Rattus norvegicus: one gene and its partner. The protein of the gene in region 1 binds, or shares a complex with, the protein of each later gene. Links are inferred from orthologs where the notes say so. Each region holds a gene or a part of one and is shown in the gene's direction. Other genes may lie near its edges.

Region 1 (3,819 bases):
CACAGAGTTGATATCCATGCAGATCTTAGAATAGTGTATCAAGTTCATATAAATGACAGCTAAGGTTTTTTTATTCTTTCCCCAAAATATGCACTAATACAATTATACTTTGTAACTCCCATCTGGCTTGAAACTTACTATGTAGAACAGGTTAGCTTCAAACTCATGGAGATCTCCTTGGCTTCTCTCTCCTCAGTGCTGGGATTAAAGGCCTACACCCTCATACCCAGCATCATAATATTCTCCCTCTCCCTCTTCCTTTCCATATATATGTATTTCTGTCTTCAGACACAACAGAACAGGAAATCAGATCCCATTACAGATGGTTGTGAGCCACCATGTGGTTGCTGGGAATTGAACTCAGGACCTCTGGAAGGGCAGTCAGTGTTCTTAACCACTGGGCCATTTCTCCAGCCTCAAATCATAGTTTTTTTTTAAATAAATTATTAAAATGTTTGTATTTAGAAATTAAATTTCCTTCTCTATAGTATTCCTACAAAGTATGGTTCTGGTTTTGTTTCATACCACTGTTAGGGCCAGAGGTCCCGGCTCAGTGGTCGAGCACTCATGCCGGAGGCCCGGGTTCAGCCCCTCATATCACTGAGACACTATACTCTATCTTAGAGACTTGCTGTTTTGACTCAGTAGTATAGTTTGAGATTCATTTGTGTTGTAATAACTGGTGTAGTTCATTTTTAGCATCCCACTATATGAATGTGCTATAGTTTTTCTGTTTTCTTGTTAATGAATATTTAAGGTAGGTATTTCATCTTTTTCTCACAACAAACAATGCTGCTGTTAAAGGCATTTAATAAAATAGGTGTGGTGATACTTGCTTTTGTAATCCCAATATGTGCAAAGCCTGAGGTAGGAGGATGGCACATGGAACTGTGTGTGGAGAGGTCAGTTGTACTAGCCTGGATGGCATAGTGAGGTCTGTCCAAAACAAAAACAGACAGGTGATGGTGTGTCCCTTTAATTCCAGCACTCAATGCAGGCGGAGCTCTGACTTTGAGGCCAGTCTGTTCTACATAGGGAGTTCCAGGTCAGCCAGGGCTATGCAGTGAGAACTTGTCTTAATATCAACACCCACCCTACACCCCCCACCCCCGCAATAAAAGAAAACAAAGAAACAACAGTAACAACAAAACCCAGAACATTATAGTACAAGCCTTCTGGAATGAAGACTTGTGGATTGTTGTTGTTGTTCAGAGTATATGCCTAGTCATGAATGGTATTACTGTGTTGGGGAATTCAGAGCTTTTGTTGTTGTTTTCTGTTTTGCTTTTTGAGACAGGATTTCTTTGTAGCTGTGGTTATTTTACAACAAGCTCATAAACCAGGCTGGCCTGCTTCTGCCTCCCTAGCCCAGGTATTAAAGGCCTGTGCAGCCCTCACTACCACCCACCACCCAGCAGAATTCAGGACTTTTGTTATTTGTGGATGACTTTTGTTTGAAGAGGCAGGCTAAATTCTGAGGCAGGAGGACAGAGCAGGAAGACTGCTAAGGTTTGAGTGAAGCTTCTGTGTCACTGTTCCAAAGTGTCAGTATTGACCTAAAGTATACACACCTCTCTGAACAGAGCAAAGCCCTGTTATTAAACTACCTGCTTCCCCTGTGGTTTTGTTTGTTTGCTTTTACTGTTATAGTTAGGTTCTTTAGCAACTAGATAATAGGTTCACTATGTTGACTCCTGGATATGTTATGTGGACTGGTAGTTTGAGATAAATGAGCCTTTTTGGAATTAATTGTAACTATTTGCTGAATATCAATTGTAAATGTTAGAAAAAATGTTTCCAAGTAAAATTTTTGAGAGCATATTAAATCTGTTACACCTGAAACTTTTTAATTCTTACTAATCCTTTTGTATATTCAAATAGTAATATTTATATTCGGAAATTGGATTACCTACTTCTTTTCAGTCATAGATAAAAATTTGAGTGCCCGATTTTATTTTATAAGGCCATTTTAAGGTCATCGAGTTAGAAATAAAGAAATGCTTAAAAACTTGAGATTTGGTTTAAGTGTGAGTCTCAACATCAGATCACGTATAAAGCCCGAGTGACCTGCCACCCTCCTATTACAGAGCGACATTCCTACCGCCCAGAGGAAGCGGTTTACCAGAGTGGAAATGGCCAGAGTTCTCATGGAGAGAAACCAGTACAAAGAGAGGCTGATGGAGCTTCAAGAAGCTGTGCGATGGACAGAGATGATCCGGTGTGTATGAGAAGTGCTCCGATGTTTCTTGCTGTTTCATTGGATGCATGTGTTTCTTCATTGCCAACCAATCCCTGACTGAGGGTTCATGCCATTTCCTTATTCAATAGGAGAAACTTTCGGTTAACGTTTCTAACATTAATAACAGAACGAGACCAGAGATGTCCCAAAGCCTAGGTGTCTTTTGAGATAGTACATGACCTTAGAGGATAATCTCATAACTTGTAAGAGATAGTTGTTGTTACTTAAGAATAATGGTCATTTAAAAAAAAAAAAAAAAGGAAATAATATTCTCTCCCAGTGTCGATTTCACATGCAGTATATGGAAAATATATTTAGTATTTTCCTATTAAATATACTTATTTGACTGCCCCCTCTTTCTCTTCATGCACAATATATTTTTCCTTTGGTGTCTTTCTGTCAATTAGACGTTTGTTTTTATCATTAATATGTTGTAATGGTTCCTGTTGGTGGAGTTAAGTGCCAGCCAGTGTGTGCGTACCATGCTGTGTAACCAGACCCAACCTTCCGTTATTCACTCTCCAGACCTGCTAGCCTCTAATCATCACTCTTTGCAATCAAGCTGACTTCTTTGTAAACTCTCCCTTTTTTAAAACTCAATTAAAATATTAATTTTATTAACAGAACTTATGATCCATTTTCTATGTTGTATATGTTTTACAACTGCAAAAGACAGAGAATGTTTATTTCATAACATTACTTGATATTGATGAAATTTTGTACTTTATTTCCCAAAATTTTATCTTGAAGTTTATAACTAAGACTGTTTCTGTACTATCTATCCACTCCCTACCTCTAAGTACCTTCCTTGACAAATAAGATTTAGTGCACTCAACAGGGGATGTAAACTGTCAAAAAGTAATCATTTAGACTCATGTATCAGCAGCCATTTCTATATTTTATTGTAGCATGCCTGATTCCTAGAATGTCACAATATCCTTTCTTATTAATCCAGTGCCATGTGGGTTAAAAGAAATATTAATTTTAGCAAGGCTTGCTTTTGCTATATTCTCATGTTCACATCTTTTTTTTCCATATAAAACTGTACCAATTCCTACAACATTCCAATAGCTTACAGATCCAAGGCCACAAGACTGGCCCTCCATCACAAACAGCTTGAGAGGACACATAGTTGTCCTTTATGGCTCTTAAATCTCACAGACTGCTGCCATCTAGTGGTCATGATCTCAGTAGACATTCCCTCCTTGCACTCAAAAACAGCTATAGAAAAGTTTGTCAGCTGACTTTCCATTAATTTACTCATATTCTTGAGTTTGAATTATCACATCAGATTTATACATTGTTTTCAAGTTTGTAAACCTAACCTTGAACCCTCCTCATACAAACATCATTTTTAGCACCACTTACTTAGTAAGTTGCCACCAGAGCAGTATAGTTGCAAGATGTTCAGTGAAAGTTTAGAGCGCAGATAAAAGAAACCTTAAAGTAAGAATAGGAATTTGTAAGAAGTATTTTAAAGAGGGAGCTAGAGTATATCTTTAATTTTTTTCTTTGCTTTTTGTTTGTTTGTTTGTTTGTTTGTTTGTTTGTTGAGAGAAGATCTTGTTCCAAACTGGCCC
Region 2 (3,448 bases), on another chromosome or scaffold:
AATTGGGATAGATGTGAGTCATATCTGGCTGATGACTTCAATTTTTTTATCAATTATAAAATAAAAAGTATATTATCATATGCTGTCGTAGTAACTTCCTTGAACTTTTCAGTTTTTTTCCTTCGTGTTTATTTTTGCCCTTATTTACATTTAAAATTTCACTTTACTTTAACCTTACTTAACACTAGTCACTTAATACAAAAATGTTTTCTCAGCCAGCAAGAAGGTAGTACGTAAAAGTGCTGGCCGCCAAGCTTGATGACTTGAGTTTGATACCTTAGACCCATATGAGGAACTGGCTCTGGCAAGTTGTCTTCTGACCTCTCTGTGCACACGCACACTAAATGAAAAAAGTATTTGAAAATAAAAACAAAACTCAAATAGTTTCCTTATGGTGCGTGGAGATCTGAAGTCAATTTGAGGGAGTTGGTTCTCTCCTTCCACCATACGGGTTCTGGGGACTGAACACGGGTCCGCCCTCTCGGCGGCAGGCTTCACGCACACAGCCATCTCGTCGGTCCTGAAAGTCTATTTCCTAAGAAGTGCGGGTGGTTCAGACTTACAAAGAGGACAAGTTTAAACTTTCACAGGCAGGGCTTAGGGGCAAACCCAACACGAGTAAAAGTGCGGGCGACTTTGGCGGATTCTATGGAACACTGGCCTCCCACGTGTCTTTCAGGAAACAGAAGGAAGTCGGGAGGCGTCGGAGTAAAAAGGAGACCCGGGTGCGGAAGGCTGGGGCGAGCGGGAGGAACTTTGCGCAGGGTGTCCGGGAGCAAACCTGGGAAGCCTGGGTGGGGGCGTTGAACACCCAGTGGATTTTTGCCCCGCCTTCCAGTGGCGGAGAAGGGAAAACAGCGGAGACCCTGGGAGAGCGACAGGTGGGCGTACGGCCAGCCCCGCTCCAGCAGGTTCCGCAAGGCGTCCGCGTGAGCCCCCCGAGCCGCCGTAGCCCCACCCCCGGCGCGTGGCGCTCGTGACGCTAGGCGCGCGGGCCACTCTCCTTTCAGAGGTCGCGCTCTTCCGAACGGTCGGGCTGAGGTGCGCGTGCGCAGTCGGGAGGGGAAGTGAGGCGGTTTCCTCGGCGCCTTTTCCGGCAGCGGCGGCAGCAGAACTGGGGAGGAGGAGGTGGAGGCCGGAGGGAACCCGCGCTTGGGGCGGCGGCTGGAGGTAATCTCAAGGGCCGAGCCCGAAAGGCGGGCCGGGTCGGTCTCAGCACCGTCGGAGTCCCGGCGGTAACTCCCTTCTCCCTCTCTGTGTCTCTGCAGGTAGCACCGAGTTCCCGCGAGGATCCATGACCTGACGGGGCGCAGAGCCGCGCTCTTCGTCGGGTGACCAGGGTTGGTGCGGAGCCCGGTGCTCGCAGGCCGGCGGGAGGGCCGCAGTTTGACCTGCCGCGTGCTGAGGCGGCGGAGGAGCTGTCGGCGGCGCTCGCGCGGCGCCTGCGGGGGGAAGGGCAGTTCCGGGCCGGCCGCGCCTCGCCTCAGCAGGGCGGCGGCTCTCCCGGCGCAGACGCAGGGCCCCGGCGGCGGGCGATGCCCGAGTGAGCGCAGGCCGGGCCCCTGCCCCTAGCAGGCAGCTTCGCGCAAGCCGGGCCGCAGGGCGTCCTCGCGGCGGGGCGGCTACTTTTCGGGCTCGCAGCGGCGGCGGCGTTGTAGGCTGAGGGGACCCGGGACACCTGAATGCCCCCGGCCCCGGCTCTTCCGACGCGATGGGGAAGGTGCTATCCAAGATCTTCGGGAACAAGGAAATGCGGATCCTCATGCTGGGCCTGGACGCAGCCGGCAAGACAACGATCCTGTACAAGTTGAAGCTGGGCCAGTCTGTGACCACCATTCCCACGGTGGGTTTCAACGTGGAGACGGTGACTTACAAAAACGTCAAGTTCAACGTGTGGGATGTGGGCGGCCAGGACAAGATCCGGCCGCTCTGGCGGCATTACTACACCGGGACCCAGGGTCTGATCTTCGTGGTAGACTGCGCCGACCGCGACCGCATCGATGAGGCCCGCCAGGAGCTGCACCGCATTATCAATGACCGGGAGATGAGGGACGCCATAATCCTCATCTTCGCCAACAAGCAGGACCTGCCTGATGCCATGAAACCCCATGAGATCCAGGAGAAACTGGGCCTGACCCGGATTCGGGACAGGAACTGGTATGTGCAGCCCTCCTGTGCCACCTCCGGGGACGGACTCTATGAGGGGCTCACATGGTTAACCTCTAACTACAAATCCTAATGAGCGCCCTCCACCCAGCCCCCGGAAGGAGAGAAATCAAAAACCCATTCATAGGATTATCGCCACCATCATCACCTCTTTCAATTGCCACTCTCTTTTTTGAAACTGAACTCGAGTTACTGTTCTACCGTTTAGTGGGGTTGGGGGTTTTCTTTGTTCCCCTTACCCCCCCTCTTCTATTTCCTTTCGGCTTTGCGTTAGGATGCTCTGATCTGACATTTGACACGAATACAGTGCTATATGCTCTTGTGACTTCCAGCAAACGGGGTGGGGTAATAGCAACTCTTGGTAAAGTCCTTTATAATAATGGTTTTGATTTTTTTTTTTTATTTCGAGAGAATCTCCCCCCATGTATGCCTTTTTCCTTTTTGCCCAGTTTCTTATCACTTGCTGTAGATGGCTTATTTTGCATTCATGCAGACTATGTTCCAAGTCTGTTTCATCTAGTAAACTGAAAATTATTGCTTAATCAAACTGCCGTTTGTCTTTTATATTTAAGGCCTTCCCTCCCTTCCTTGTTAGCTCTAACTTTAGCAGTTTCAAATGTGACCTTTTATAGCCAAGACCAGTATGGTGAACTTAGCCCATAGTGGCAAAATGAGTAATACCAGTGTAATGTTCAGTTGCACACCAGTGTGTCAGATAGGTAATGTAAGGAATCCCTTGAAGTCAGCCATTAACGTGCATGAGTAGGAGTAAGGCTCAAGTCCCCTTTGCCATAGCTAACTTTACCGACTAAAACAAGCAGAGCCTGTAAAGGGTACAGGTCCTTCTCCCTGCAAAGTTAGCAACTTTGCTGATTCCCTCTTATGGATAAAAATGCTCTTTCCAGAAAGTGGAGCAATAATGGTGTATGCCACACAGATGAAGTATTTGTAGATACTTTAAAGTGACTTTTGGGCAAAACTGGAACTGTCTTAAGACCAGTAGTTTTAAAATTACTAAACATTTACTTGGCTCACTAATAAAATATTTAAAAAGCCAAATTACATGCACCTTTAACCTAGCTGGAAAAAAAAACCCAACACATTCCTGTTTTCACATTACAGCAACTGATTAGACTGAAGATACGAGACTTTTTTAATAGATGAGTGATTTACATCTCCATTAAGACACTGGAAAAGATGTTTTATTTTAAAAAGGTATTTAGTTTTGCTTGATTGTAGGTTTATTCATGCAGATATCCTGTTGGTTCAGTAGTCTATCTCC

What was found.
Region 2: the proteins of Spag9 (region 1) and Arf6 are in contact, whole or in part, in a crystal structure (PDB 2W83), measured with the Homo sapiens proteins. The link is inferred for Rattus norvegicus from reciprocal best matches to the Homo sapiens genes SPAG9 and ARF6. Residues at the interface, in NP_001124000.1 of Homo sapiens: Lys431, Asn432, Ile435, Val438, Asp439, Thr442, Cys443, Asp446, Val447, Gln449; in NP_001654.1 of Homo sapiens: Glu13, Arg15, Lys34, Phe47, Val49, Glu50, Thr51, Thr53, Lys58, Asn60, Trp62, His76, Tyr77, Thr79.

What each region holds. Positions count from the first base shown.
Region 1 is NC_086028.1:79,534,224-79,538,042, forward strand, and holds part of Spag9 (C-Jun-amino-terminal kinase-interacting protein 4), read left to right. Parts: intron 1-2,087; coding exon 2,088-2,218; intron 2,219-3,819. UniProt on the Homo sapiens protein: The JNK-interacting protein (JIP) group of scaffold proteins selectively mediates JNK signaling by aggregating specific components of the MAPK cascade to form a functional JNK signaling module.
Region 2 is NC_086024.1:93,588,218-93,591,665, forward strand, and holds Arf6 (ADP-ribosylation factor 6), read left to right. Parts: upstream 1-1,559; 5' UTR 1,560-1,711; coding exon 1,712-2,239; 3' UTR 2,240-2,708; downstream 2,709-3,448. UniProt on the Homo sapiens protein: GTP-binding protein involved in protein trafficking that regulates endocytic recycling and cytoskeleton remodeling. GTP-bound form plays an important role in the transport of multiple palmitoylated proteins form the Golgi to the plasma membrane.